7 linked regions of the Macaca fascicularis genome follow. The protein of the gene in region 1 interacts with the protein of each later gene in a biochemical or structural test. Links are inferred from orthologs where the notes say so. Each region holds a gene or a part of one and is shown in the gene's direction. Other genes may lie near its edges. The genes, in order: CTNNB1, MUC1, HNF4A, CHD8, CBY1, UBE3A and CSNK1A1.

Evidence for each region.
Region 2: the proteins of CTNNB1 (region 1) and MUC1 form a complex in vitro, tested with the Homo sapiens proteins (5 studies listed by BioGRID). The link is inferred for Macaca fascicularis from reciprocal best matches to the Homo sapiens genes CTNNB1 and MUC1.
Region 3: the proteins of CTNNB1 (region 1) and HNF4A form a complex in vitro, tested with the Homo sapiens proteins (2 studies listed by BioGRID). The link is inferred for Macaca fascicularis from reciprocal best matches to the Homo sapiens genes CTNNB1 and HNF4A.
Region 4: the proteins of CTNNB1 (region 1) and CHD8 form a complex in vitro, tested with the Homo sapiens proteins (3 studies listed by BioGRID). The link is inferred for Macaca fascicularis from reciprocal best matches to the Homo sapiens genes CTNNB1 and CHD8.
Region 5: the proteins of CTNNB1 (region 1) and CBY1 form a complex in vitro, tested with the Homo sapiens proteins (2 studies listed by BioGRID and IntAct). The link is inferred for Macaca fascicularis from reciprocal best matches to the Homo sapiens genes CTNNB1 and CBY1.
Region 6: of the proteins of CTNNB1 (region 1) and UBE3A, one has a biochemical effect on the other in vitro, tested with the Homo sapiens proteins (3 studies listed by BioGRID). The link is inferred for Macaca fascicularis from reciprocal best matches to the Homo sapiens genes CTNNB1 and UBE3A.
Region 7: of the proteins of CTNNB1 (region 1) and CSNK1A1, one has a biochemical effect on the other in vitro, tested with the Homo sapiens proteins (2 studies listed by BioGRID). The link is inferred for Macaca fascicularis from reciprocal best matches to the Homo sapiens genes CTNNB1 and CSNK1A1.

The regions. Positions count from the first base shown.
Region 1 is NC_088376.1:104,069,248-104,073,430, forward strand, and holds part of CTNNB1 (catenin beta-1), read left to right. Parts: intron 1-833; 5' UTR 834-881; coding exon 882-894; intron 895-1,001; exon of another isoform or gene 1,002-1,133; intron 1,134-1,340; coding exon 1,341-1,568; intron 1,569-1,764; coding exon 1,765-2,018; intron 2,019-2,143; coding exon 2,144-2,382; intron 2,383-2,470; coding exon 2,471-2,672; intron 2,673-4,019; coding exon 4,020-4,164; intron 4,165-4,183. UniProt on the Homo sapiens protein: Key downstream component of the canonical Wnt signaling pathway.
Region 2 is NC_088375.1:105,954,379-105,957,155, forward strand, and holds the end of MUC1 (mucin-1), read left to right. Parts: intron 1-60; coding exon 61-182; intron 183-270; coding exon 271-420; intron 421-1,448; coding exon 1,449-1,523; 3' UTR 1,524-1,834; downstream 1,835-2,777. UniProt on the Homo sapiens protein: The alpha subunit has cell adhesive properties. Can act both as an adhesion and an anti-adhesion protein. May provide a protective layer on epithelial cells against bacterial and enzyme attack.
Region 3 is NC_088384.1:100,475,119-100,480,085, forward strand, and holds the start of HNF4A (hepatocyte nuclear factor 4-alpha), read left to right. Parts: upstream 1-1,773; 5' UTR 1,774-1,897; coding exon 1,898-2,012; intron 2,013-2,135; exon of another isoform or gene 2,136-2,315; intron 2,316-4,967. UniProt on the Homo sapiens protein: Transcriptional regulator which controls the expression of hepatic genes during the transition of endodermal cells to hepatic progenitor cells, facilitating the recruitment of RNA pol II to the promoters of target genes. Activates the transcription of CYP2C38.
Region 4 is NC_088381.1:89,079,591-89,083,773, reverse strand, and holds part of CHD8 (chromodomain-helicase-DNA-binding protein 8), read left to right. Parts: intron 1-175; coding exon 176-431; intron 432-1,986; coding exon 1,987-2,197; intron 2,198-2,431; coding exon 2,432-2,627; intron 2,628-3,140; coding exon 3,141-3,308; intron 3,309-3,507; coding exon 3,508-3,687; intron 3,688-4,138; coding exon 4,139-4,183. UniProt on the Homo sapiens protein: ATP-dependent chromatin-remodeling factor, it slides nucleosomes along DNA; nucleosome sliding requires ATP. Acts as a transcription repressor by remodeling chromatin structure and recruiting histone H1 to target genes.
Region 5 is NC_088384.1:12,994,910-12,999,539, reverse strand, and holds the start of CBY1 (protein chibby homolog 1), read left to right. Parts: upstream 1-1,346; 5' UTR 1,347-1,348; coding exon 1,349-1,463; intron 1,464-1,668; exon of another isoform or gene 1,669-2,308; intron 2,309-4,630. UniProt on the Homo sapiens protein: Inhibits the Wnt/Wingless pathway by binding to CTNNB1/beta-catenin and inhibiting beta-catenin-mediated transcriptional activation through competition with TCF/LEF transcription factors.
Region 6 is NC_088381.1:3,748,106-3,751,818, forward strand, and holds the end of UBE3A (ubiquitin-protein ligase E3A), read left to right. Parts: intron 1-76; coding exon 77-220; intron 221-1,031; coding exon 1,032-1,152; 3' UTR 1,153-2,963; downstream 2,964-3,713. UniProt on the Homo sapiens protein: E3 ubiquitin-protein ligase which accepts ubiquitin from an E2 ubiquitin-conjugating enzyme in the form of a thioester and transfers it to its substrates.
Region 7 is NC_088380.1:156,431,145-156,436,052, reverse strand, and holds the start of CSNK1A1 (casein kinase I), read left to right. Parts: upstream 1-1,936; 5' UTR 1,937-2,408; coding exon 2,409-2,531; intron 2,532-3,202; coding exon 3,203-3,309; intron 3,310-4,908.

The DNA.
Region 1 (4,183 bases):
ATACCTAGAGGCCATGAACTGTTCAAATTTGCAGGTAGTTCCCTGTGTGATGCAGTGTTTTTTTCTGAATATTGCACAATAAAGGCAAAATACAGACATAAATGAGATGCTAAGATTTGTATATATTAATTTTTAAAATATTGATCAAAATAATATGTATCCATATTGATATTTGTATTTATAATAAATCATTGCTATAAATTTGAACTTAGAAAAATTTTACTAATGAAGGTGCTTTTTGTGTTGCAAACTTTCATTTGAAAAGTAATTTTTCTTTGTACTAAAAAATCTAAAATTCACTATTCTAGTCACCAAAATTTGCTCTATGAAAAATAATTTTTGATGGCACTGTATTATATCAGAAAACAACTAACTTGTTAATGAAAATGTGGAGTTTTTAAAATCCCACTGTACCTCTGTTATCCAAAGGGGATCTGTGAATTTTTCCGTGAAAGGTTAAAAACACGAGAGACCTTTTGGAATTCAGAGAGCAGCTGATTTTTGAATAGTGTTTTCCCCTCCCTGGCTTTTATTATTACAACTCTTTGCTTTCTCATCACCATCCTGATTATCTGTAATTTATATTTCTACTATTAATAAAAAGATGTATTTGGTAAGGAGGAGTTTTCACTGAAGTTCAGCAGTGATGGAGCTGTGGTTGAGGTGTCTGGAGGAGACCATGAGGTCTTGTGTTTCACCAAATAACCTGGTAAAAGAGTATATGGGGTTTTTTTTGTGGGTGTAATAGTGACATTTAACAGATATCCCAGTGACTTAGGAGTATTAATCAAGCTAAATTTAAATCCTAATGACTTTTGATTAACTTTTTTTAGGGTATTTGAAGTATACCATACAACTGTTTTGAAAATCCAGCGTGGACAATGGCTACTCAAGGTTTGTGTCATAAATCTTTAGTTACTGAATTGGGGCTCTGCTTCGTTGCCATTAAGCCAGTCTGGCTGAGATTCCCCTGCTTTCCTCTCTCCCTGCTTACTTGTCAGGCTACCTTTTGCTCCATTTTCTGCTCACTCCTCCTAATGGCTTGGTGAAATAGCAAACAAGCCACCAGCAGGAATCTAGTCTGGATGACTGCTTCTGGAGCCTGGATGCAGTACCATTCTTCCACTGATTCAGTGAGTAACTGTTAGGTGGTCCCCTAAGGGATTAGGTATTTCATCACTGAGCTAACCCTGGCTATCATTCTGCTTTTCTTGGCTGTCTTTCAGATTTGACTTTATTTCTAAAAATATTTCAATGGGTCATATCACAGATTCTTTTTTTTTTTTTAATTAAAGTAACATTTCCAATCTACTAATGCTAATACTATTTCATATTTATAGCTGATTTGATGGAGTTGGACATGGCCATGGAACCAGACAGAAAAGCGGCTGTTAGTCACTGGCAGCAACAGTCTTACCTGGACTCTGGAATCCATTCTGGTGCCACTACCACAGCTCCTTCTCTGAGTGGTAAAGGCAATCCTGAGGAAGAGGATGTGGATACCTCCCAAGTCCTGTATGAGTGGGAACAGGGATTTTCTCAGTCCTTCACTCAAGAACAAGTAGCTGGTAAGAGTATTTTTCATTGCCTTACTGAAAGTCAGAATGCAGTTTTGAGAACTAAAAAGTTAGTATATAATAGTTGAAATAAAATGTTGTGGTGAAGAAAAGGGAGTAATAGCAATGCCACTTTTACCATTTAGGATAGCAAATACTTAGGTAAATGCTGAACTGTGGATAGTGAGTGTTGATTAACCTTTTCCAGATATTGATGGACAGTATGCAATGACTCGAGCTCAGAGGGTACGAGCTGCTATGTTCCCTGAGACATTAGATGAGGGCATGCAGATCCCATCTACACAGTTTGATGCTGCTCATCCCACTAATGTCCAGCGTTTGGCTGAACCATCACAGATGCTGAAACATGCAGTTGTAAACTTGATTAACTATCAAGATGATGCAGAACTTGCCACACGTGCAATCCCTGAACTGACAAAACTGCTAAATGATGAGGACCAGGTGAGCAATGACATGGCTAGCTTTTTAGTCTGCTTTGAAGTAAATGCTCAAGGGGAGTAGGTTCAGAATGTCTACCCACTACCAGGACTTGAAAACTAATGATGTTTCTGATTCTTGTATTATAGGTGGTGGTTAATAAGGCTGCAGTTATGGTCCATCAGCTTTCTAAAAAGGAAGCTTCCAGACACGCTATCATGCGTTCTCCTCAGATGGTGTCTGCTATTGTACGTACCATGCAGAATACAAATGATGTAGAAACAGCTCGTTGTACCGCTGGGACCTTGCATAACCTTTCCCATCATCGGGAGGGCTTGTTGGCCATCTTTAAGTCTGGAGGCATTCCTGCCCTGGTGAAAATGCTTGGGTAAGAAAACATTGTCAGAATGCTTGAAGCTAAAAAGTAGAAGAGTATAGTCACAATAGTTCTGATGAGGCTTTTTTCTTCTTCCCAGTTCACCAGTGGATTCTGTGTTGTTTTATGCCATTACAACTCTCCACAACCTTTTATTACATCAAGAAGGAGCTAAAATGGCAGTGCGTTTAGCTGGCGGGCTACAGAAAATGGTTGCCTTGCTCAACAAAACAAACGTTAAATTCTTGGCTATTACGACAGACTGCCTTCAAATTTTAGCATATGGCAACCAAGAAAGCAAGGTAAGAGAATTCTTCTTTATGTGGTTTTCATGGAGCATCGGACACTTCCAGTGTCATGTCATTCCATGCAGTGTTCCTAACCTTTTTGGCACCAGGGATCAGTTTCGTGGAAAACAGTTTTTCCATGAATGGGTTGTGGGAATGGTTTCTGGATGACACTGTTCCACCTCAGATAGTCAGGCATTAGATTCTCATAGGGAGCGTGCAGCCTAGATCCCTCGCATGTGCAGTCCACACTAGGGTTTCCGCTCCTATGAGGTTCTCATGCTGCAGTTGATCTGACAGGAGGTAGAGCTCAAGCCAGGTAATGCTCGCTCACCTGCCACTTACCTCCTGCTGTGCAGCCCAGTTCATTTCTGTTCTTTTAAATTTTTGAGTTTCCATATGTAAAGCACTATGCAAAGTAATAGGGATATCATAGGCAAGCTTCTCTTCACACTTTTGTAATTAGGTGGGATGTAGATGTTGGGAATAATAACCTAATATTTAATTCATGTAGTGGGAAGAAGTGGGGGCTATGAGAGCACATTACACAAGTGAAACAGACTCTTTATGAGGGTTCAAGGAGGTACCTCTTGGAGGAAGTGATAGTTGAGTTCAGTGTTCAAGGATGAGAAGGGATTCACTAGGTGAAGGTTAGGTGAGAAACAGCATCTTTGAAACGAAGGAAGGAGATGGAAAGTTTTGGGAATTTAAGAAATACTAACAGTAAAGAGGAAGAAAGGTTTGAGGTGAGGCTATTGAGATAGACTCAGCAGATCTCATAGGGCTTTGTACAGCATGTTTAAAAGCACAATGGGAAATTTCAGCAGAAGCATGAAATGATGAAATTTGTTTTTAGAAAATTGGGGCAGTGTTGAAAGGGAAGATACACAGGGGATGAAAGGACAAGAGTGAATGATCATTTTATGGTATCTCTTTTTAAGGTGGATATAATTAGGAAAATTAAAGGGCCAAGTGATAAGGAGTTTTAAGTGCCAGTTCTGGTTCAAATTTTCAGTGAATCAGTTTTGATATAACTTTCATCTTAGGGCATTAATCTTGCCTGCCAACATGGTTTCTAAATTTTTTTCTTCTGCTATGATCAGTATGGGAAGAAGGAAATTGGGCCAAAACTGATACATTCTTGGGAGGACTGGGATGTCTGAATTTGAGTGGAATGCTTTAAAAGGACAAGTTGGATAGGGCCCCAGTATGGGGGTCAGAGTGATGGGGTCCAGGGATACATTTAGGTCCAATGACAAGCTGGCTGAAATTCTTGTATAATAAAATATGTTGGTAATATGGCTCTTCTCAGACATGTGATCAAGATTCCATGACTAACAAGATATGTATATATCTTTCTAGCTGATCATACTGGCTAGTGGTGGACCCCAAGCTTTAGTAAATATAATGAGGACCTATACTTATGAGAAACTACTGTGGACCACAAGCAGAGTGCTGAAGGTGCTATCCGTCTGCTCTAGTAATAAGCCAGCTATTGTAGAAGCTGGTAAGTATATGTATCTATT
Region 2 (2,777 bases), on another chromosome or scaffold:
CTGGCAGTTAGAGGGGCACCTCCTCTGGGAGACTGCCCTAACCACTGCTTTTCCTTTTAGTGCGTGATGTGCCATTTCCTTTCTCTGCCCAAACCGGGGCTGGGGTGCCAGGCTGGGGCATTGCGCTCCTGGTGCTGGTCTGTGTTCTGGTTGTGCTGGCCATCGTCTATTTCATTGCCTTGGTGAGTGCAGTCCCTGGCCCTGATCAGTGCCCACCCCCCCGCCGACAGAAAGCACTCCATGGTCTGCCATAACCTCCTATTTCCCCAGGCTGTCTGTCAGTGCCGCCAAAAGAACTACAGGCAGCTGGACATCTTTCCCGCCCGGGATGCCTACCATCCTATGAGCGAGTACCCCACCTACCACACCCATGGGCGCTATGTGCCCGCTGGTGGTACCAATCGTAGCCCCTATGAGGAGGTGAGATTGGGCCCCACAGGCCGGGGGAGGCAGAGGCTTTGGCTGGGCAAGGGTTCTGAAGGGGGTACTTGGAAAACCCAAAGAGCTTGGAAGAGGTGAGAAGTGGCATGAAGTGAGCAGAGGAGGACCTGGCAAGGATGGGGGCGCAGAGGTCAGAGGAGTTCTGGGGGACAGGCCTGGGAGGAGACCATGAAAGAAAGGGGCCCTCAAGAGGGAGTGGCCCCACTACCAGAATTCCTAAAAGAGCATTGGCTGTCCACATTCATGCTGGCTGGCCCTGGCTGAACTGGTGCCACCACAGCAGTTTTGTTTTGTTTTGTTTTGTTTGCACCCAGAGGCAAAATGGGTAGAGCACTATGCCCAGGGGAGCCCTTCCTGAGGAGTCACAGGGGGGAACCCCTGTGCCCCTGATCATCTCCTAGGAATAGAGGGTAGACCGAGAAAGGCTGGTGTAGGGGGAGGTTTCCCAGGTAGAGGAAGAAGTGTCAGCAGACCAGGTGAGCCTGGGTGCCAGTTGGGTTCTTGGGAGCTTCAAGGAAGTAAGGAACCCTCCCTCCTTCCTCTCCTGGCTTTTCTCTGTGGGACCTAGTAAATAATTACTGCAGCCACCTGAGGCTGGAAAACCACTCCAGGTTGGGGAGGAGAGAGGAGTTTATTTTTCTTGCTCCTATTTTCCTCGTCCTGGAGACCTCCCTCTCTCGGTTTTACAAAGACACAGATACACACACACACACACACACATATGCACACACACACACACACCTACACACCTTCTTTGACTGGAACAGCAGAGAATAGGGGGACAAGGCGGCTGATTAGAGCCAAGAAGAGGAAGTGAAGGAGAGCAGAGGGAGGAGGGCAGCCCTGTTTACAGTTACTGGCTGGTGGGGTGGCAGGTGCTCTCTCTGAATAAGCCCTTTGAGAGCTGGCCAGGACTCTGGACTGATTACCCCAGCCTGGGGTGGCATCCAGGGGCTCTAGGAGGTACCTTCTGCTTCTCACCCTGGATCTCTTTTCCTTCCACCTAGGTTTCTGCAGGTAATGGTGGCAGCAGCCTCTCTTACACAAACCCAGCAGTGGCAGCCACTTCTGCCAACTTGTAGGGGCACGTCGCCTACTGAGCTGAGTGGCCAGCCAGTGCCAGTCCACCCCACTCAGGTTCTTCAGGGCCAGAGCCCCTGCACCCTGTTTTGGGCTGGTGAGCTGGGAGTTCAGGTGGGCTGCTCACAGCCTTCCTCAGAGGCCCCACCAAGTTCTCAGAACCTTCTCGGTCTGTGGAAGCTCATGGGGGCCCTTGAGGGCTTATGCCTGGGAAGTGTTGCAGTGGGGCTCCCAGGAGGACTGGCCCAGAGAGCCCGGAGATAGCAGGGGACCTGAACAGGACTGAATAAAACGTGGCCTCCCGCTGCGCCAACTTCTGATCTTTCATCTGTGGCCCGTGGGCAGCAGGGCGGTCAGAATGTGTGTGAGAGGCCTGGGGGAGGAGACAGGGAGGCCAGGAGGCAGTAAGGAGCAGGTTTGTTTGAGAAGCAGGAGATGTGAGGAGGAGGTGACGTTGGGGTATAGGGGTGGCCTGAGGAGCCACCTCTGGCTAACCCTGGCAGCACAAGCGGAAGGAGGAAACGAAACCCAGGCGGGTTTTGGAGGGCTGGCATGACTGGGCTCCGTGACTGGGCTCTGTGTGCCAGTGGCTCTCCCCCTCTTCGCCTGGCCCACGCCCTCCTTGCCCCCTGGCACAGTGCCCCCAGGTGGCTCTATTCTTAGCTGTCCGGGTGTGAAGTAAATCCTTGGGCAGTGATTAACAGCCCAGAGTCAACAGGGTTGAGATAAGCGGAGGCTGGGTCAGATCCAGGTGCTGGCACCAGGCCCAGCCCCCTCCCTGACCCCGGCTGCCCCACCAGCCTGCTGCCCCTGGGGTGGGCTCCACAACACCCTGAGAATGGGGAAGTGGTTCTGGTTCCCTGATCCCTTTGGGCCCAGGCACATTGCCTGTCCCCTCAACCGCATTCCCCCAGGGCCTGGTGCTGCAGGGCAGGCCCGGATGCCCTGGTTGGGGCCTGCTGCCAGCAGCCAGAGAGCTATGTCTCCTGGCAGCTGTGGTGGGCTCAGGTGGGGTCAGGACACGTGTGGCAGGAGGCTTAGAGCGCCTAGCCTGGGGCCTTCCTCCCTCAGGCACCAGATCCATTGGTTGCCCCTGCCCAGAACCACAGCCTAGCACCCTGCCCCCTCCCGCCCACCACACCCAGCACAGAAACTAACAGGAATGATTGTGCTCAGGGAAAGCAGAGATGTGCCTGGCATCACAGTTTATTATTTATAAACCATGACAATAACAGCTGTTGCTCAGCACAGGCCTA
Region 3 (4,967 bases), on another chromosome or scaffold:
AGAATAAAGCTAAGCAGGGCAGAGAAAGGGCTTCTAGCAGTGGGAAGAACATGGAGATGCCTCCTCAGAGCACTCAAACACATGCTCTGACTCCCGATTTGCTCACTCATTAATTCACCCACACATTCACTCATTCTCTCACTCGTTAATTCACCCACTCTTTAATTCTTTCACCCATTTGCTCATTCACTCACTCATTAATTCACCCACCCATTCACTTATTAATTTACCCACCCATTTGCTCACTTACTCAGTAATTTACCCTCTCATTCATTCATTCACTCACTCAATTCATGCATTCAGTCAACTCACTCATTAATTCACCGTCTCTAATTCAATCACTCCTAATTCACCCACTCATTAATTCCCCCACACACTCACTCATTAATTGGTGCTCCCACTAATTCACCCACTCGTGCTCACAGGTGTCACCAAGTCCCTCCAACCTGCCCTTCCAGTCAGCAGCAGAGGACAGGCTCCCAGGCCTCCCAAGTCTCAGGCTTTCCTTCCTCTGCCCTCACTCTCTGCCTTCTACATCAAGACTTTACTTCCCCAGATTGATTGGCAGCCCTTGAAAATGTCTGCACAGAAGGCAATGAGGGCTGGAGGGAGTGAGAAGAACAGAGCGCACCATGAGCTTCAGACAGCCAGGACCAGCTGTGTAGTTTTCAGGGCCCCAACCAAAACAAAAATGCACAACCCCTTGTTCAAAAGTCATGATGGATTTTAAGTCATGATGAACCAGGCACCAGGACTTTCTAAGGGTTGGGCTGCCTGTGACTGCACTGGCGATACCCCCACCAAGCCCACTCTGAAGGTAGGAGACAGGTGGAGAGAAACGGGGATGGAAAGGGGGATACACAACAGGGAGAGGGAGGAGGAAGAGAATGGAGGTCTATGAGGCCCCATTTGGTGTGTGACTTATGCCATCTCATTTCCTTCTCAGACCACCCTTTGAGGCTGATTGTACATTTTACAGAGAAGGAAACTGAGGCTCAGAGAGAATCATTTACCCAAGGTCCCAGTTAGTAGATGGTAGGCGCCAGAATGTAAATCCAGGTATCTGCCTGCTCTGGGAGGGGGTGGGGGTGGGGGAAACAGGAGAATGTGACGGGAAAATCCGAGATGGAGTTGGCCTGGGCAGAAACACTGGGAGCTGTGGGAGATGGTGAGGGGCAGGGTGGGATCACAGGGAGCAGGAGCAGGGAATTGGAGGTGAGTCTGGCCCTCCCAAACTTCCAGTCCATTCTGCTCCCAGGGGAACCGGGAAACTGCAGGGGAATTGGAAGGGAGCTCCCAGAACAAGGATTCAGAAGATTGGCATCTGGGGCCTGGGATTTAGGTTTCTAAATCATGGGCCATGGGGCAGCCTTATCTCCGCAAGAGCATTGAGGGTAGAAGTCAATGATTTGGGAAGTTATTGAATTAGGGGATCTCGGAGGTAGGCTGTCAGTGCCTGATAGTATCAGTTAGAATTCCTGACTTGGGGTGACAATGGCTTGGAGGGGTGGGTGAGTCAAGGGTCAAATGAGTGCCCATGAGTCATGATGCCTGCCTTGTACAATTGATAACTGAACATCGGTGAGTTAGGGCCTCAACAGTTGTAATTAGCACCCCGGGTGTCAGCCAGAAACCAACAAACAGCCAAATCCCTGCAGCCCCGCCCTGCCTATCCACCGGCGGGGGACCGATTAACCATTAACCCCCACCCCTCCCCGGCAGAGCCTCCACCCCTTCACAGAGGCTAGGCCAAGACTCCCAGCAGATCTTCCCAGAGGACGGTTTGAAAGGAAGGCAGAGAGGGCACTGGGAGGAGGCAGTGGGAGGGCGGAGGGCGGGGGCCTTCCGGGTGGGCGCCCAGGGCAGGGCAGGTGGCCGCGGCGTGGAGGCAGGGAGAATGCGACTCTCCAAAACCCTCGTCGACATGGACATGGCCGACTATAGTGCTGCACTGGACCCAGCCTACACCACCCTGGAATTTGAGAATGTGCAGGTGTTGACGATGGGCAACGGTAGGTGGGGGCAGGTGTGTCAGTGGGGGCAGGTGTGCCTGGGTCCAGGAACAGATCTTTGGCACTCAACTTGGGGGTGGGAGGAGAATGATAGAAAATGGTAGGTTGGTCCTGCAGGCCAGCACAGGTGTTGCCAGGTGAAGCCCATGTGCCCAGGTGCAGTGATCACGGGCATTCCGGGGGAAGGGAGGCCTGCAAGGGCCAATTTCCAGCAAAAGTCGATCCCGGCTATTCCTCCCAGGCCCTTCCATTCCTCACTGCCTCACAGCGGCTCCGCTTGGCGCTTGGCGCAGTGACGTGATGGTGAGCTCCCCCTTGGTGCCCAGCTCCAGCAATTCAGCCCAGCACGGCCGCTTTGTGAACCCCTTGGGCCTAGGTTCAGAGAGACAGCAAGGGACATTGTATCCCTGGAGATGGTGGTTGGAGACATAACTGCATTTCTTGGTGTCTTTGGGACTTTCCTAGGGAAAATGGAGTTCTCAGGGAAGTCTTGCTAACTACAAAGCCAACTCAGCACTGTGTGTGTGGTGTGTGCGTTCGTGTGTGATGGTGAGTTTCCATGTAGGTTGTATGGGTGGGGTGATGCCTTCAGGAACACATTTGCATATGTGTGTTCATTTGTCTCTGTGTGTGAGTTCTGGGTCTATTTTCCTTTGTATTCATTGAGTGGGTCTGTGTTTGTGTCTCTAGGAGGTGCCCGTGTTGATCTTGCTTATGCATGTAAGTGACTATGTGTGTGTATGTGTGTCTGTGGATGTTGGTACATGTGTGCTGTGTGTGCGGGTCATAGAGCACATGTGTTTGTGCATGTAGACCTGTTGGAGTGCCCTGTTCTTCCTGCATCTTTATCCTGTGTGGGCGTTTTGTCGTGTGCCCATATTTGTACCTGCTGTGTACATATGCAGTCCCCCGTACTGCGGGCGGGGGTCAGCGGTCTCTGGTGTGCCCACATTTATACCTGCTGTGTACACACACAGTCCCCCGTACTGCGGGCGGGGGTCAGCGGTCTGTGGTGTGCCCATATGTGTGCCTGTGTACACACATAGTCCCCCATACTGCGGGCGGGGGTCAGCGGTCTGTGGTGTGCCCAGCGGTCTGTGGTGTGCCCATGTGTACCTGTGTACATATGCAGTCCCCCGTACTGCGGGCGGGGTCAGCGGTCTCTGGTGTGCCCGATTGCACAGACCCAAGTGCAGGACTTTGTTGCTGCCATTCACCAAGTGAGATTCACATCAGCAACATGTCTGTTTGTCTCTGAGCAGATTTTGTTGCGGGCGTGTCTCTGCAGATTTAGGCATCCCTCCGACATCTCCGGAGCATATCTGGAGGGGCGGGCAGTTCTCCTCCCCAGGGAGGTAGGGGAAAAGAGGAGGCCTGGAAACCCCTCCTGGAGGGAAGGGCGCCATCGGTCCCAGGCCAGCCTCAGAGGAGAGGGGGCAGCAGCTGGCTGAGGTCAGCCTGCCACCCCACTTCCTTGTGTGTCTTGGAGCCACACAGCCAGTATCAGGCTGTAGCTCCAGCTGAGGCCTGGAAGCTTGTGGTCAGCTCAGCTAGAGCGAGGAGGCAGCCGCTGGGCACTGCCTGTTGTCAGCTCAGCAGGTGCTCACCTGCCCCTGCTATCCAATCACTGTGTGACCTTGGGCATGTCACCTCCCCTCTCCTGGCTTCTGTATCTTCTACAAAACAGGCTTCACTCCTCCAGGCCTGCTGGCTGGCCGACTTTTAGGCCTGAGGACCATGCGAGGCGAAAACACACCAGAGATAGCAAACAAGTTGAAGCTGTACGAGGTGGAGTGTCGCATGGCCCCACGAGGACCGCTGCCCTGCCCCGGGCTGCTCCCCGACCCCATCACCTTTTCAAAGCCCAGGAACTGTGTGCTCCTGAGGCAGAGGCCAAGCCCCTGAACTGGATGTCCCAAAGACAAGATCACCTCCAGCTCTGGAACCAGAAAGATCTGGGCGCAAATCCAGCATAGATCCTTCCAACCTGTGTGAACGTGGCAAGGCAGTTTCCTCTCTGAGCCTGTTTCCTCATCTATAAAATGGGAATAAATAATAGTGTCTGCCTCCCAGCACTGGCCAGAGGATAAATAAAACAAGGTGCCTCGGTGCTTAGCCCTGGTAAAGGGCCTGGCCCCAACATGGGTTGTGTCAAGGGCTCTGAGCATCTGTAAGCAGGGTTCCCACGTTCCTCACTGGAGTTGGAAGTGGTCTGAATTGGGGTTATGTGAAGTTGTCCTCTGAAGTGTTTTGAGTACATCCTGGGCTGGTGGCTCAAAGGCTCCAAGGATATTTCTTCCCCGTCCACTCCCCACCCCAATGCAGCGGCAGCCCCAGGGGGCTCCTTGTTCATTAGAGGCCCCAGCAGACACCTCAACATGTGCGGCACTGGCCGGAGTAGCCCAGCAAGCCTGGACCATAAACCCGTGGCTCTGCTTCACAGCAAGCAGTGCGATGACATCAGAAAGCCACTTGTCCTCTCTAAGCCTCAGCGTCCTCACCTGCAGAATGGAGGTGCTCGGCTGACCTCAGAGGGGAGATGATAGAGCTGACAGCCCCCAGCCCATCCTGCCCCAGAGCTGGGAGCTACTTCCCCAGCCTCCTACTGAATGACCAGGAGCTGTGGGGTCAGTCTCCCCCGGGGTCGAGGGAGGAGAGGCCGAGGGAGAAAGGGCACCCATGTGGCTTAACAATTATCCCCATCTCCAGGAATAATTCACCAAGTCCTGGGGACACCTGGGAGTCTGTGAGGGCAGAAATGAGATGCGGCAGTGTCTGCTTGTGACAGAGCCTGGAAGTCCTCTGCTCTGAGAGTTTTCCTATGCAGAAAAGTTTTTATTTCACGAACACTGATATAGTGCTTACTATGCACCAAGCACTTCACATACACAAATGAGTATTCACCAGGTCCCCATAACAAACCTAGGGGAATATCACATTCCCCATGTTACAAAT
Region 4 (4,183 bases), on another chromosome or scaffold:
ATCTCAAGGGCCTTTCTGAACTCCTTATAACCTTGTGCCTACATCATTTGTGGCATCATCCAAAGTATACATTTCTTAGATAATGGAAAACTGTAATTTTTCCATGTTTCTACATAATGTGAGAATGTTTGCCCTCATATTATTGATTTCTTTTTCTGTCTGTAATGGACTACAGGTTCAAAAGCTACAGGCCATTCTTAAGCCAATGATGCTGAGAAGACTCAAAGAGGATGTTGAAAAAAACTTGGCACCCAAACAGGAAACTATTATTGAAGTAGAGCTGACTAACATCCAGAAGAAATACTATCGGGCTATTTTGGAGAAGAATTTCTCCTTCCTTTCCAAAGGGGCAGGTCATACCAACATGCCTAATCTACTTAACACAATGATGGAGTTGCGCAAGTGCTGCAACCACCCATATCTCATCAATGGTGAGGGAATTCTTGGTATATACCTGAACTTCTGAGTACCTGTGTTTACTTTCTAGATGATACTCCTTGGGGACAGTGAATGCATTGACTCATCCAACCTAATTTGGGGTGGGGACTGAGGAATGGGAAATGGTTCCCCTTTTTAAAAAGAGATTCTAAGCCTGGGCAACATGATGAAACCCCACCTCTACAAAAAATACAAAAATTAGCCAGGTGTGATGGCAGGCATCTGTGGTTCCAGCTACTTAGGAGACTGAGCTTGGAGGATCGCTTGAACCCAGAAGGCAGAGGTTGTAGTGAGCTGAGATCGCACCACTGCACTCCAGCCTGGGCAACAGAGTGAGACCCTGTCTCCAAATAAAGTAAATATAAACAATTCTTATTTGGAATGTTTTTCCTCTAGTTCTTTCTACCCCTTTGATCCTGCATAATCTCCAAAATTAAATAGTATTTGCTGTTTAGAATTTCATGAATAAAAACTCAGGTTAGCCACACAGTGGCATGTACCTATAGTCCCAGCTACTTAGGAGGCTGAGGCAGGAGGATTACTTGAGCGCATGAGTTTGAAGCTAGCCCTGTCTCAAAAAAAAAAAAATCTCAAGTTACTGTGTTCCTTGGATAAATGTCCTCATCCACCCTCCATTTTGCTGTTTCTGTCTCTTTTTTGGGTGCTGGTAGTGTGTTCCATCTTAGTCCTTGTCCACATATTTACATCTTTTTTTACCCAATTATCATAGGCCTGCCTTACTTGGCATATTTTGTATGACACAACGAAGGATGATTTAAATTTTTTATTTTTATTTTTATTTTTTTTTTGAGATGGAGTTTCACTCTTGTCACCCAGGCTGGAGTGCAGTGGTGTGATCTCGGCTCACTGCAACCTCTGCCTCCCGGGTTCAAGCAATTCTCCTGCCTCAGCCTCCCAAGTAACAGGGATTACAGGCGCCCACTACCACGCCTGGCTAATTTTTTGTATTTTTAGTAGAGACAGGGTTTCGCCACATGGGGCAGGCTGGTCTCGAACTCTTGACATCAGGTGATCTACCTGCCTCAGCCTCCCAAAGTGCTGGGATTACAGGCGTGAACCACCGAGACCAACTGATTTTTTTTTTTTTAAACACAGAGTCTTGCTTTGTCGCCCAGGCTGGAGTGCAGTGGTGCGATCTAAGCTCACTGCAAACACCACCTCCCGGATTCAAGCGATTCTCCTGCCTCAGCCTCCTGAGTAGCTGGAACTACAGGCCTCTGCCACCACACCTAGCTAATTTTTGTATTTTTAGTAGTGACGGGGTTTCACCATGTTGACCAGACTGGTCTCGAACTCCTGACCTCAAGTGATCCATCCACCTGCCTCGGCCTCCCAAAGTGTTGGGATTACAGGCGTGAGCCACCATACCCAGCCGATTTAAGATCTTTTGGTGCTGAAATTCTGTGTGTGAGAAACGTTGGTCTAAAGTTAAATTATATTTTTTTCCCTTTGCTTTCTTGATTAAATAGACTACAACCTTAATATGGCTCACTGGATCTCAATTTAACTTGATTTTTCTTTTGGCAGGTGCTGAAGAAAAAATCCTAACAGAATTCCGTGAAGCTTGCCATATTATACCTCATGACTTTCATCTGCAGGCCATGGTGCGTTCAGCTGGCAAACTGGTTCTTATTGACAAGTTACTTCCAAAACTTAAAGCTGGTGGCCATAAAGTTCTGATCTTCTCTCAGATGGTACGCTGCCTAGACATCCTAGAGGATTATTTAATCCAGAGGAGGTAAGAAAAGGGTCATCCTAGCCTGTGGTTACTCTGTCCTCATAAAGCAGCAAAAAGTAGGAGGGCCTGAGTTTAATTAGAGTTGACGAATTGCAATAACAGGAGTTTTTAAGATTCTCACTCTCAACTTGGGTTTTTGACCAGCTTTGATATGGGAGTACTGGTATTGATCCTAGCCTGCTGTTTCGGTCTCCACTTCTGCTTAGCCACTTATATTTTTTTTTCTGTGAACAGGTACTTATATGAACGCATTGATGGGCGAGTTAGAGGAAACCTTCGACAGGCTGCCATTGACCGCTTCAGCAAACCTGACTCAGACCGCTTTGTCTTCTTACTGTGTACCCGGGCTGGTGGACTTGGTATTAATCTTACAGCTGCTGATACCTGCATCATCTTTGATTCAGACTGGAATCCACAAAATGACCTGCAGGTAAAGGAATTCATTGTCTTAGGGAGTAACTACCTAACTTGGGAGATTTTTCAACAAGAATGGGATCTTTTAGAAAGGACTTTCAGAGAGTTTGGAATTGTTTCCTTAGTTAAGGGTGGCAGTTAGTTCAGGGAATCAGCAAACGTTTTCTGTAAAGGACAAGATAGTAAATGTTTTAGGCTTTGTGAGCCATCGATTCTCTGTTGAAACTGCTCACCTCCAAATCCTGTAGCACAGAAACAGCCATAGATAATATGTAAATGAATGGGTGGTCCCACCTGTGTCCCCATTGAACTTTATTTATAAAAACAGATGTCCACGCAGACTTTAGTGTGCTGACACCTGGTCTACATAATATGGTGATAATTTCATCTTGAAATTGACTCTTGGTTTTGAGTTTATCTCATGGCTGCTCTATAGAGGTGAAAGAGTCATAAATCGGTATTTTGTATCCTTTCCCCTGCTAATTTTATGGTATCTTTCTTCTTTCCTTTCATTTTTATTTTAAACCAGGCCCAGGCACGATGTCATCGAATTGGGCAGAGCAAAGCTGTGAAGGTGTACCGCCTCATCACTCGTAATTCCTACGAGAGAGAGATGTTTGATAAGGCTAGCCTCAAGTTGGGATTGGATAAAGCTGTGCTTCAATCCATGAGTGGTCGGGATGGCAACATTACTGGAGTGAGTCTTCTTAGTTTATAGATGAGTTTGTAGTGAGTCATTGTGATAGAGGAAAACAAAAGCTGTTTTTACACAGGGATTTGACTACCTTATTTGGATTCTTAATTATTATTTCTTAAAATGTAATAGATAAAATATTATGGCATGGTTAGATATTATTCTGTTGATAGTCTTTTCATCTTTCTATTGGTTTTTACAGATCCAACAGTTCTCTAAGAAGGAGATTGAAGATCTTTTAAGAAAAGGAGCATATGCAGCCATCATGGAGGAAGATGATGAAGGCTCCAAGTTTTGTGAAGAGGACATCGACCAGATCTTGTTAAGACGAACTACAACCATCACCATTGAATCTGAAGGAAAAGGTTCCACCTTTGCCAAGGCATGTTCTGTCTGTGCCAGAGGCTAGAAAGGCAGAGATAGAGACTGGAATCTCTAGGATTTAATTATGTTTTTATGCTGGGGATGGTGGCTTATGCCTATAATCCCAGCACTTTGGGAGGCTGAGGCGGGCAGATCATTTGAGGTCAGGAGTTTGAGACCCAGCCTGCCCAACATGGTGAAACCTTGTCTCTACCAAAAATACAAAAATCAGCCAGGAATGGTGGCATGTGCCTGTAGTCCCAGCTACTCAGGAGGCTGAGGCAGGAGAATCACTTGAACCTGGGAGGTGGAGGTTGCAGTGAGCTGAGATTGTGCCACTGCACTCCAGCCTGGGCGACAGAGCAAGACTGTCTCAAAAAAAAAAAAAAAAAGTTTTTAAAACATAGTTGCTGATTTTGCACCACTTAAAAAAAAAAGTCAGCTTTACCTCTACATTTGTTTTTCTCTAGGCAAGCTTTGTTGCTTCTGAAAATAGGACAGATATTTCTTTGGAT
Region 5 (4,630 bases), on another chromosome or scaffold:
ATCACCTGAGGTCAGGAGTTCGAGACCAGCCTAGCCAACATGGTGAAACCCCCGTCTCTACTAAAAATACAAAAAATTAGCTGGGAGTGGTGGCGGGCGCCTGTAATCCCAGCTACTCGAGAGGTTAAGACAGCAGAATCGCTTGAACCCGAGAGACCGAGATTACGCCACTGCACCCCAGCCTGTACAACAGAGTGAAATTCCGTCTTAAAAATAAATAAATAAATAAAATTTGAAATGGAAGCAGTATAAATTTAGAAATACTGATTATATCTTGAAATAGTAATGTTTTAGACAAATGGAGTTAAAACATTACTCAAATTAATTTCACTTGGCTTTTTTTTTTTTTAACTTTTAAAAAAATGAGGCTACTAGAGAATTCCAAATCACATATGTGGCCTGCTTTATGTTTCTATTGTACAATGCTGAGCCAGACTGTGAAGATTTTAGTTCTAGGACATGGAAGTCTCCCCTCTTTTAATGCAGGGTGGTATAGTCGGAAGAGAACTGCGCTTGGAGCCAAAGACCCCTGGGTCCTGCCCTTCACTAGATGGATGCCTTGGTACACCCACTAGGCAGCCGGTAAACTCCTTGAACGACCTAAGTTTCTTCACTTATGAGATGGAACCAATAACACGCTGTTAGGACTCTAGGAGGCCTGGAGTTGATCGTCCAGTAGTTCTCTGTCCGTTGCTCACAGTGCGACTTTTAAGTAATCCCTGGGCCTCGGCTTCCCTTGCTTGTAGAAGCCGCCATAAGGGCATGGAGAGGGGGCAGACTGCCAGGGGTGGGTCATGGTGCGTCTGTCCGTCCATCTTACCTGAAAGCATCGGCGGAATTTGACGCACCCGGGGCCGGTCCCGCCACGGGTCCCTCAGTGGATCCCGCAAAGTTCTGGGTGGGCCCCCGACACTCGGTGCCCCAAACTCACAGCAAGGGGTGCCCTTTGCCTTGTGCTGAGGGAGGAGGAGGGGAGTTGGGGAGAGGCCCATTTTGCTACTCTGACTCCAGGCGTTCTCCAGGCAACGCCGGCGCGGTCACCACTTTCGCGTTTCCCATAACAATGGAAGCGTCGTGAGCCGCCGCGTTGTCCGCTAGACGCCGTTTCCATGGTGACAGCCCCGCCGGGGGCCCAGACCAATGTGTCTGTGGGGAGGGTGAGTGCAGGTCGTGGTCCTAGCCTGTAATGGGAGGCACGAAAAGGACCCCGGAAGACACTGCCTTTGTATAATCCGTTTACTATCCCGAGGTGATTCACGGAGTTTCTGGGGATTCGCGCAGGCTGGCGCTGGGAACCCCCGCGCCGGTGCCCCCTTTCCTCGGTGGTAGAGGCCGGGCGGGGTGGCGCATGCGCGTGGCGGGCTGGCGGCAGGAGGCGGGTGGGTCAAGGTATATCTGTACTACAGAGTCCCTGATAGGGGGTTTCGGGGAGCGCTTGGACCCTGGCTTCTGGGACGCGTCAGGTACGTCTCCGAGTCCGGCGTCGCCGGCCAGCACGGCCTGGGTTCACGTGGGGGCCCGAGCTGGGTGGGACGCCCGGGCCTCGCCTGGAGAGAGGCGTCGGGAGGGCGCGGGGAAGGGGGCGGAGGCCTGGCGACCCCGGGCGGTGGCCGCCCTCCTCTGTGTGTCTCCGCAGTTGTGAATTGGGGCGGTAATTCCTCCCCGTAGGTCGCCGTGAAGGTGATTGCATGAGATCGTGCGTGTGAACGTTTGTTGACAGCTGTTACTTGAGTCCGACAGCCCTGGGGGCCGTGCACCTGCGTAACATGGCTAGCTCTGAACTCCTTGGGGGACACGTATACTTTTGAGAATCCGATGAAAGCCAAAGGTTCCTCCCTTGTTTTCTTAGAATTAAAGTAAGATAATATATTTCATGGCCTGTTGCAAACAGAAAACCTTTACACAATGATTAGTGATCAGTATCTGTGGATTGGGGAGGCCCCACTTACTTGATCCTCTTCCCAGGGTCGTTGTGAGGATCAAGTGCACAGCTTCTTATAAACACTAAAACACTATAACATCTTGTGAGCCAGGTACTATTATTATTCCTCATTGCAAAGAAAGAAGCCGAAGCCCAAGGAGGATAAATGCTGGGGTCGCACTGTGGGTGAGCAGCAGAGTGATCATTGGAAGCCAGGTGCTCCCCCTTCACTTCCTTTGTGCCGAGCACGCTCGCCCCCCGGAGTTTCACTAGAAAGAAGGTCGCCATCGGCCAAGGGAACAGCTTGTACCTCAAGTGCACGCGGATGCCCCAGAATCCCAGGATCTCAGCCGAGCTGTTTGTGGATTATTAGATCTGACTTAAAAGGTAGCTAATCCAGACCCTTCCTCATCTGTAATATATAGATGACAGTTCCCAGCTGTAGTGTTATGAGAATTAGTGCGGTCATGAGTGAAGTACCCCAGTTAAAGCCCGAGAAGTAAAGCAGCTGGACCAAGGTCTAGCAAGCAACTGAGGGGCAGAGTCAGGCCCGAAACCTGGTTGTGTCCAGCCCATGTGCTCAGGCCCAGTGCAATTAGCGTCAGTGGGGACTTGGCTTATTTCTCCTTCTTCAAATGTCTCTAGGTGCTATGAGTGCTGGGGGCTGCTTTTTTTTTTTTTTTTTTTTTTTTTTTTTTTTTTTTGAGATGGAGTCTCGCTGGAGTGCAGTGGCGCAATCTCGGTTCACTGCAAGCTCCGCCTCCCGGGTTCACGCTATTCTCCTGCCTCAGCCTCCCGAGTAGCTGGGACTACAGGCACCCGCCACCGCACCCGGCTAATTTTTTGTATTTTTAGTAGAGACGGGGTTTCACCGTGTTAGCCAGGATGGTCTCAATCTCCTGACCTCGTGATCCGCCGGTCTCGGCCTCCCAAAGTGTTGGGATTACAGGCGTGAGCCACCGCGCCCGGTGGCGGGGGGCTGCTTTTTAACTGTGTTTTGTTTATTTTGTTCATAATACATGAATATATTCTCATTGTAATAATTCATTAAATCTCGAGTATATTTAATATAATTTTATATTGTACCATATGAAATTGTCACAATTTGACCTTTTTTTGATCTATAAAATGACAATTTCATTCAAGCCAGTCATCCTATTCCCTTTTTCAGGTTTAACCACTATGAGCAATTTGGTGTATCCTTCTAGATCTTTATTTCTTTTCTTTTTTTTTTTCCTTTGAGATGGGGTCTTGCTCTGTCACCCAGGCTAGAGAGCAGTGGCGCGATCTTGGTTTACTGCCACCTCCACCTTCTTGGTTCAAGCGATTCTCCTGCCTCAGCCTTTCAAGTAGTTGGGATTACAGGTGTGAGCCACCGCGCCCAGCTTAGGCCTACAATTTTATAATAATAATGTGCCACAAATTATTTGGCTACACCCAAATTGTTTGGATTGTTTCTTATTTTTTTACTGTTATCAACACTAGAGAACACTGGGTGTGAGCATGTCCAAGTCTTTCTAGAGTGTAATATTTTAGAAGTAGATTTGCTGTCCAAAAAGTGTACACATTTACAATTTTGCCAAGTTTTATTTGAGTGACCTTGAAAGAATTATAGCATCTTCTGATTCTACCAGTAATAACAGTGTCTTTTTCTTCACATCCTCATCAACCATGGGTATTATTCATCTTTTTAATTTTTGCCAATATGATGAATGAAAATGCATCTTTATAACGAATTTTTTTTTTTTTTTTTTTTTTTTTTTTGAGACAGAGTCTCGCTCTGTCACCCAGGCTGAAGTGCAGTGGCCGGATCTCAGCTCACTACAAGCTCTGCCTCCCAGGTTTTACGCCACTCTCCTGCCTCAGCCTCCCAAATAGCTGGGACTACAGGCGTCCGCCACCTCGCCCGGCTAGTTTTTTGTATTTTTAGTAGAGACGGGGTTTCACCGTGTTAGCTAGGCTGGTCTCGATCTCCTGACCTCGTGATCCGCCCGTCTCGGCCTCCCAAAGTGCTGGGATTACAGGCTTGAGCCACCGTGCCTGGCCCGAATTTTTTTTTTGAGATGGAGTCTCACTCTGTCACCCAAGCTGGAGTGCAGTGTCATAATCTCAGCTCACTGCAACCTCTGGCTCCTGGGTGCAAGCAATCCTCCCACCTCTGCCTCCTGAGTAGTCCCTCCCATGTGCCTCCACAGGCGCACACCACCACGCCCAGCTAATTTTTTGTATCTTTGGTAGAGACAGGGTTTTGTTTGCCATGTTGCCCAGGATGGTCTTGAACTCCTGGACTCAAGTGATCTGCCTGCTTCTGCCTCCCAAAGTGCTAGGATTTATAGGCATGAGCCACCATACCCAGCCTGGGGTAGGCAAACATTTTAAAAATAGAATACGAACACTAATCATTAAGAAATAATAGTAAATTGGGCTGGGCGCAGTGGCTCACGCCTGTAATCCCAGCACTTTGGGAAGCCGAGATGGGTGGATCACGAGGTCAGGAATTCAAGACCAGCCTGGGCCGGGCGCGGTGGCTCAAGCCTGTAATCCCAGCACTTTGGGAGGCCGAGGCGGGTGGATCACGAGGTCAGGAGATCGAGACTATCCTGGCTAACATGGTGAAACCCCGTCTCTACTAAAAATACAAAAAACTAGCCGGGCGTGGTGGCGGGCGCCTGTAGTTCCAGCTACTTGGGAGGCTGAGGCGGGAGAATG
Region 6 (3,713 bases), on another chromosome or scaffold:
GCAAATCATAAGCTTATATTAGTACCAGTCATAATGAATGCCAAACTGAAACCAGTATTGTATTTTTTCTCATTAGGGAGTTCTGGGAAATCGTTCATTCATTTACAGATGAACAGAAAAGACTCTTCTTGCAGTTTACAACGGGCACAGACAGAGCACCTGTGGGAGGACTAGGAAAATTAAAGATGATTATAGCCAAAAATGGCCCAGACACAGAAAGGTAATGATTAAGTGGTGACTCTATACCTACTGAAAACCTTGCATTCCTCATCACACACATATGAACTGTCTTTATAGTTTCTAAGCACCTTTGTGATTTTATGTACAAATCCTGAAATCATATTAGACAATTGAGAAAATATTTTGCTGTCATTGTGTGAGGAAACTTTTAAGGAATTGCCCTAGTTAAAAATTATTATGGGACTCACATTGGTTTGGAATTTTTCAAATTAGTATGATTCATTTACTTTTTTGATTCCCAGCTTGTTAGTTGAAAGCCATGTTACATGATAATCTATTTAGAATGGTTACATTGAGGCTTGGAAGATTATCATTCGATTATGCTAGAATCCCGTTATCAAATCATTTTCATAGTCATATTGCCAGCAGTATTTCTAATAAGCATTTAAGAGCACACAGTTTGAAATGTTGTAAACCAGGTTTGAATATTTTCTCCACCTTAGAGGAAGTTACTTCTCAGTGACCTAACCTCTGAAGTGCATTTATTGATGTCCTCTCTGTGGTTTTGTTGTGGAAAAAGATTTAGTGAAATGAACTGTAATAATTAAATACCTAAAACGGTATCTGGTATGTAGTAAAAACTCAATGGATAAGTATCTTATCATCATTGTTACTAGCTTTGAGTAATTTATAGGATAAAGACAAACTGATTCTTGGTAGTTACACAACAAAAAGTTTATGATTTGCATTAATGTATAGTTGGCATTGCAAACCATCTCAACTATATATAATTCTAAGTGTATTTCCCATGACTTATTATTTTCCTGTTTTTTCCCCTTTTCTCTATTTAGGTTACCTACATCTCATACTTGCTTTAATGTGCTTTTACTTCCGGAATATTCAAGCAAAGAAAAACTTAAAGAGAGATTGTTGAAGGCCATCACGTATGCCAAAGGATTTGGCATGCTGTAAAACAAAACAAAATAAAACAAAAAAAAGGAAGAAAAAAAAAAAAGAAAAAATTTAAAAAATTTTAAAAATATAACAAGAGGGATAAATGTTTGGTGGTGATAGTGTCCCAGTACAAAAAGGCTGTAAGATAGTGAACCACAGTAGTCACCTCTGTCTGTGCCTCCCTTCTTTCTTGGGGACATGTGGGCTGGAACAGCAGATTTCAGCTACATATATGAACAAATCCTTTATTATTATTATAATTATTTTTTTGCGTGAAAGTGTTACATATTCTTTCACTTGTATGTACAGAGAGGTTTTTCTGAATATTTATTTTAAGGGTTAAATCACTTTTGCTTGTGTTTATTACTGCTTGAGGTTGAGCCTTTTGAGTATTTAAAAAATATATACCAACAGAACTACTCTCCCAAGAAAAATATTGCCACCATTTGTAGACCATGTAACCTTCAAGTATGTGCTACTTTTTTGTCCCTGTATCTAACTCAAATCAGGAACTGTATTTTTTTTTAATGATTTGCTTTTGAAACTTGAAGTCTTTGAAACAGTGTGATGCAATTACTGCTGTTCTAGCCCCCAAAGAGTTTTCTGTGCAAAATCTTGAGAATCAATAAAGATGGAAGGGAGAAATTGGAATGTTTTAACTGCAGCCCTCAGAACTTTAGTAACAGCACAACAAATTAAAAAAACAACTCATGCCACAGTATGTTGTCTTCATGTGTCTTGCAATGAACTGTTTCAGTAGCCAATCCTCTTAGTATATGAAAGGACAGGGATTTTTGTTCTTGTTGTTCTTGTTATTTTAAGTTTACTGGGGAAAGTGCATTTGGCCAAATGAAATGGTAGTCAAGCCTATTGCAACAAAGTTAGGAAGTTTGTTGTTTATTATAAACAAAAAGCATGTGAAAGTGCACTTAAGATAGAGTTTTTATTAATTACTTATTACCTAGATTTTAAATAGACAATCCAAAGTCTCCCCTTCGTGTTGCCATCATCTTGTTGAATCAGCCATTTTATCGAGGCACGTGATCAGTGTTGCAACATAATGAAAAAGATGGCTACTGTGCCTTGTGTTACTTAATCATACAGTAAGCTGACCTGGAAATGAATGAAACTATTACTCCTAAGAATTACATTGTATAGCCCCACAGGTTAAATTTAATTCAAAACATGTTAAACATTACTTTCATGTACTATGGAAAAGTACAAGTAGGTTTACATTACTGGATTTTCGGAAGTAAGTAGTTTCCCCTTTCCTAGTCTTCTGTGTATGTGATGTTAATTTCTTTTATTGCATTATAAAATAAAAGGATTATGTATTTTTAACTAAGGTGAGACATTGATATATCCTTTTGCTACAAGCTATAGCTAATGTGCTGAGCTTGTGCCTTGGTGATTGTTTTAACTGATTACTGTAGATCAACCTGATGATTTGTTTGAAATTGGCAGGAAAAATGCAGCTTTCAAATCATTGGGGGGAGAAAAAGGATGTCTTTCAGGATTATTTTAATTTTTTCATAATTGAGACAGAACTGTTATGTACCATAATGCTAAATAAAACTGTGGCACTTTTCACCATAATTTAGTGGAAAAAGAAGACAATGCTTTCCATATTGTGATAAGGTAACATGGGGTTTTTCTGGGCCAGCCTTTAGAACACTGTTAAGGTACGTACGCTACCTTGATGAAAGGGACCTTCGTGCAACTGTAGTCATCTTAAAGGCTTCTCATCCACTGTGCTTCTTAATGTGTAATTAAAGTGAGGAGAAATTAAATACTCTGAGGGCGTTTTATATAATAAATTCGTGAAGAAATGTGTGCTCTTCAGTTCTCAAGTTTTATTATTACGGTACTGAAGTTCTATGATTTTGTAATAATGTATCCATATGACAAATTTTAAAGTGATAATTGAAATAGGTTATCAGATACAGAATTCACATCAAGTAGACTTCTAACAGAGTCACAATGAACCTACCCTTAAAATTTTAGAGGGAAAAAATCATCAGTTGCACAGACTAGCTGCTCTAGCTTGCTTAATTATGCTAGGCATGTTGTCACTCCCCTTACTTTTGCTGCATGGAATGTCCCTGAACAATAAGGAAGAGGAAAACATAGAAGTTTTGACGATAGTGGATACTTCCTCTACCCCAAATGTTATGTTATAAAAGTACTTTTTTGCCCAGGTACTCTATTGTATAGTTTGGTTTTCTTTGAATTAGACCTCAATCTCCAGGAAGCTCTGGAGGGAAAAAAAGGAACCATAAACTAAAGTAACTGGTTTTCCAAATAAATGCTAACTTTTTTTAACTTTCATTGTAGAACATTTCAAACATAAAACATGAAAACAGCCTGCAGCCAAACTTTTCTGGACCTTGGCAGCTCCAGCAAATGAGCTGGTCATCCTAACCTTGGTTTCCTGAGATAACTACTTTTGGGGATGCTTGCTTGTATAGGGAGATCCATATCAAAAAGAAACTTGAAAATGAGGCTTCAAACAGACCTTGCTGTTATTCATCCCTCCTCGGTACAGACATTCTGTTAGAACAGATGGTTGTAATGGGGCA
Region 7 (4,908 bases), on another chromosome or scaffold:
TTTTTTAAGACCAGAATTAACTAATTAATTTTTAGACGGAGTTTTGCTCTGTCTCCAGGCTGGGGTGCAGGGGCACCATCTCGGCTCACTGCAACCTCCGCCTCCCGGGTTCAAGCGATTCTCCTGCCTCAGCCTCCTGAGTAGCTGGGACTACAGGCAGACGCTACCATGCGCAGCTAGTTTTTGTATTTTTAGTAGAGACGGGGTTTCACCATGTTGGCCAGAATGGTCTCGAACTCCTGACCTCAGGTGATCCACTCGCCTCTGGCCTCCCAAAGTGCTGGGATTACAGGTGTGAGTCACTGCACCCGGCTGCGTTTTAGACCAGAATTTAACAGCAGATTTTAACTTAGTCAAAACATGCTTTAGAGTCACCAAAGGCGAACGATGTCTAATAGTGGTGATTTGGGAGTTGGGCACCCTGGGTGTTGGTTGTGCCTTAAAACTTCATGCTAAACTTTAGGGGAAGTCTCTTCCCCTCTCTCTTCAGTTATCTTCCGAGATGAACCCTATTACTAACCTTAATTACTTGATCACCTTTCAAAGTTGCAGTTAAAATTCTTCACATTTTTCTCTCATTTCTATTTAATTATTTTTTTGAGAGAGGGTCTCTCTGTTGCCCAGGCTGGAGTGCAGTAGCGTGATCTAGTCTCACCGCAACCTCCGCTTCCGAGTAGCTGGGGTTACAAGTGTACGTCATCACACCCAGCTAATTTTTGTATTTTTAGTAGATACGGGGTTTCGCCATGTTGGCCAGGCTGGTCTCGAACAACTGACCTCAAGTCATCTGCCCGCCCCGGCCTCCCAAAGTGGTGGGATTACAGGCGTGAGCCACTGCGCCCAGCCCTCATTTCTATTTTAATTAAATTTTATTTAAGATAGGCTTAGCTTAAATGTTTACGACTGAGGTCTGACTTAAGATGATAGCATAAACCATGGAGCTTTCTTTTGTGAACATTACTATTACTCAACCCAATTTTCCCAGGTCAAATTTTGTAATACAAAACGTGGTCAAGATTTGATTCTCTGATCGATTTTTAGTAAAAAAGAAAAAAATTTCCGTGTAGCTTTAAATGTTGTCAATTAAATTTTGTAATAGTTACCTCTACTCTGTTCAGGTTAATACTGCGGTTTTCAACATGACCAACATACGATTCTTTGTTGTTGTTTTGGTGGGGTTGGGGGGCATAACAGTTTTTTCACTCTTGTTAAATTAATTTTCTGTTGATTCCATCTATCCCTAATCTTCACTATGAACAAGATACTGGGTTTTCTTCTGAAGATCAAAAGTGGTAGTGAGGCAATAATGCAAAGACGTAGGACGGCAGGGGGATTCCGGCTTCTTTCTTTTTTCCCCTCCTGTGGAAAGAGGGTCTATAACACTCCGTAGTAGAGAAGAAAATTCTAATTATGAAGGGTAATTAGCTAGGTTTTGCTATAACCGAGAGCCCTGAACGATTCCTCAACGCGGGCTGCTTTTCTCTTCCTCTCCACCAGAGGCGATAGCCTCTTTCCAAACAGAAACTGGGTTGGAATAGGCCGGTCCTGGGGAGCGGCCAGAAGAAAGATCAAAGGTTAAAAACCGCCTCAAAGAGCAAAGGTCAATACCCAACTCCTAAGGAGGCCTGACACGAAACATGAAGGTGACTCCTCCCAACATCGAGGCCTGGGGCCACTCAGCCTTCCAGAGACCCTGCGGGTCCGAGGCGAGTAACAGGTAACACCGGCTGAGCCGCCGCCGACCGGAAGTGGAAGAAAGCCCGGGGCGGGGTGAGGCAGGCCGCGGCACGCCTGCGCAGTCAGCAGGAGTTGCAGCGCTCATGCGCTACTGGGCGGTGACAGGGTGACGCTCGGAGCGTGGGCCGCGACTCTCACGGATCCGGTTCCGCCCTCTAGCTGCCGATCCTTCGGAGCGAGCGCCCCAGATCCCTTTCCCAGAGTGCTCTGCGCCGTGAAGAAGCGGCTCCCGGGGACTGGGGGCATTTTGTGTTGGCTGGAGCTGGAGTAACAAGATGGCGGCGTCGGCGGAGTGACAGGGGTCCCTCAGGGCCGGAGCCGGCGGCAGTGGTGGTAGCTGTATCGCCGCCCTAGCTCACCGCGCCCCTTTTCCAGCCCGCGACGTCGCCGCGCAAGCGAGGCAGCGGCGGCCGCCGAGAAACAAGTGGCCCAGCCTGGTAACCGCGAGAAGCCCTTCACAAACTGCGGCCTGGCAAAAAGAAACCTGACTGAGCGGCGGTGATCAGGTTCCCCTCGGCTGATTCTGGGCCCCGAACGCCGGTAAAGGCCTCCGTGTTCTGTTTCCTGCCGCCTTCCTCCGTAGCCTTGCCCAGTGTAGGAGCCCCAGAGGCCTCCGTCGTCTTCCCAGAGGTGTCGGGGCTTGGCCCCAGACTCCATCTTCGTCTCTCAGGATGGCGAGTAGCAGCGGCTCTAAGGCCGAATTCATTGTCGGAGGGAAATATAAACTGGTACGGAAGATCGGGTCTGGCTCCTTCGGGGACATCTATCTGGCGATCAACATCACCAACGGCGAGGTAATCACCTGGGGTGGGGTTCACGATAACGCTGCGCTTTTCCTCATTCCCCCCACCACCACCGCGCACCCCCAAAGTGCTCGGGCCTCTCCTCACCGCACGCACTCGCCAGGGAGTCCAGGGAGCTAGTTTTCCTGGCTTGCGATCCTCGCCCGCTCTCTCCCTAAAAGGGTCAAGAACCCGATAGAAAAGGGTGGGGGAACTAGTTTCCCAGCTTGTTAAACACTTCCCATAAATGTCCCTTGGTCGAGCTGTTTTTTTTTTAACCGACTTTTAAGGTGGAAACGGCAAAATCCTCTTTCTGTGATTCCCATGCTTTGCTTTTCTTTTCTTTTATTTAATTTTTAATCCTGCTGGGCCTCTTGTTCCAATTAGAACAGTTTCCGATCGCCTAGTTCCTTAAAAACCTCTCACTACGTTCAGAGGTTGCCTCTTTTTTCTGGATGAATCATTTTCCTGCACTTTAGAGGACGTACGATTTCGTCACTACCCCCTGAAGAGGCCTTTGAGGCTGGTTGCCTCGTTTTATAATTACAGAGAGCTTTCTCTTTCCAGCTTTTCACTTCTTCCTTGTAGTCGCGACTTGGAGTTTTGCTAATGTCTCTCTCCTTTCCTAAATGACACTGAATCCGTAGGGATGTTGATGCCATCATCCCCTCTTTCCCCTGCAGGAAGTGGCAGTGAAGCTAGAATCTCAGAAGGCCAGGCATCCCCAGTTGCTGTACGAGAGCAAGCTCTATAAGATTCTTCAAGGTGGGGTTGGCATCCCCCACATACGGTAAGAACCCCGTGCATGTAGGCGATCCGCTGAGGGAAGCACGGAATGGGGAAGTGGGTAGAGGCAGGTAATGAGACCAGCTGAATCCGGGTCTTGTTTTGGTTACCTGGGTTCCTTGTAGCTGGTGCCTTCCTGTAAGTCATCGCAATCACTGAGTAAATTTCAATTTGCCAACTTATTTCATTGTATTACACTGCTCCATTTCGCTTCCGTCATTCTCTTCCCGAGGCTTTCGTTTGCAGTTATGCGTGCGGGTCATCTTTGATCCCTACGCGGAAGGGTTGGCTGCTGCCTTTTTTACGGCGGCACGTCTGATGTTCTTAGGTTTGTCCAGTGAAGTGGATTTGAAGGTGCTGAAGCGACCCGGCGGTGTCAGTTCGAGTTGCTATTGGAGCTGGCTTGGGAAATGGCTGCTCTTTTGTTGTGTTTTTGTTCCAACATGTCTTCCTCCTCCGCTTAGAAAATGGCGGAACGACGTGACTCAACCCCATATTCCTGCCCTTTTCTCAGCTTGGGTTCACAAATTATGCTTCCTTGATTCCTCCTTTAGCAGCCCCGAGTGGATTAAACCTTTGAAAAGCCAAGAATAAAGCTGCAGGAGGCGGTGTGGGGGTTCGAGGAAGGAGATGGCATAGTGACAATGTTTGTGATCTCTGCAGCAGATGTGACATGAAATTGTTGAATTATACTATGTAAAATCCTTTGTGGTTCTTTTAAAAGTGTTAATTACTCTTTCCTTTCGTGAATGGTCATATTTGGCACATTTCAGTCGGGACTAAATTTGTATAGGTAATGGCAAAGGCAGTTTGAGCAGCACCAACTATGTTAAAATTTACTCAAATCAATTGTATTAAAAGAAATCTTAATCACTTAGCCACACTTTGATAAGTAATTTTAACCTGTTGAGTTTGGCAGTAAATCTTAATATCAGAGAAATTGCGGCCTTTGTTGGTGTGGAATATTGGTGAGTGCAAATTGCAGTAACGCGGATAAAAGATGACGAGATAGAAAGACATTGTTCTGTCAAATGGTTAACTTTACTTTGGAGGGTTTTAGAGTAATGTTTTAACTTTTGGGATTAAAGAGCCTCTTCATGGAATGGAGACTAAAATATAGTTTAAAACCAAGCTATTTTTCAGCAACAATCTAAAATACCTTTTGCAAAAATATTCAGAATAGGTGAGAATGGTGTTTACTGTTTGCTGGAGACTCTCTTTTTTTTTTTTTGAGACTGAGTTTTCGCTCTTGTCGATCAGGCTGGAGTGCAGTGAATGGCACGATCTTGGCTCACTGCAACCTCTGCCTCCTGGGTTCAAGCGATTCTAGTGCCTCAGCCTCCTGAGTAGCTGGGATTACAGGCGCCCGCCACCACACCCAGCTAATTTTTGTATTTTAGTTTCACCATGTTGGCCAGGCTGTACTCGAACCCCTGACCTCAGGTGATCCACCTGCCTCGGCCTCCCCAAGTGCTGGGATTACAGGCATGAGCAACCGTGCCCAGGTTTTTTTCTTTTGAAACGAAGTCTTACTCTGTTGCCCAGGCTGGAGTGCAGTGGCGCAACCTTGGCTAACTGCAGCCTCTGCCTCCCAGGTTCAAGT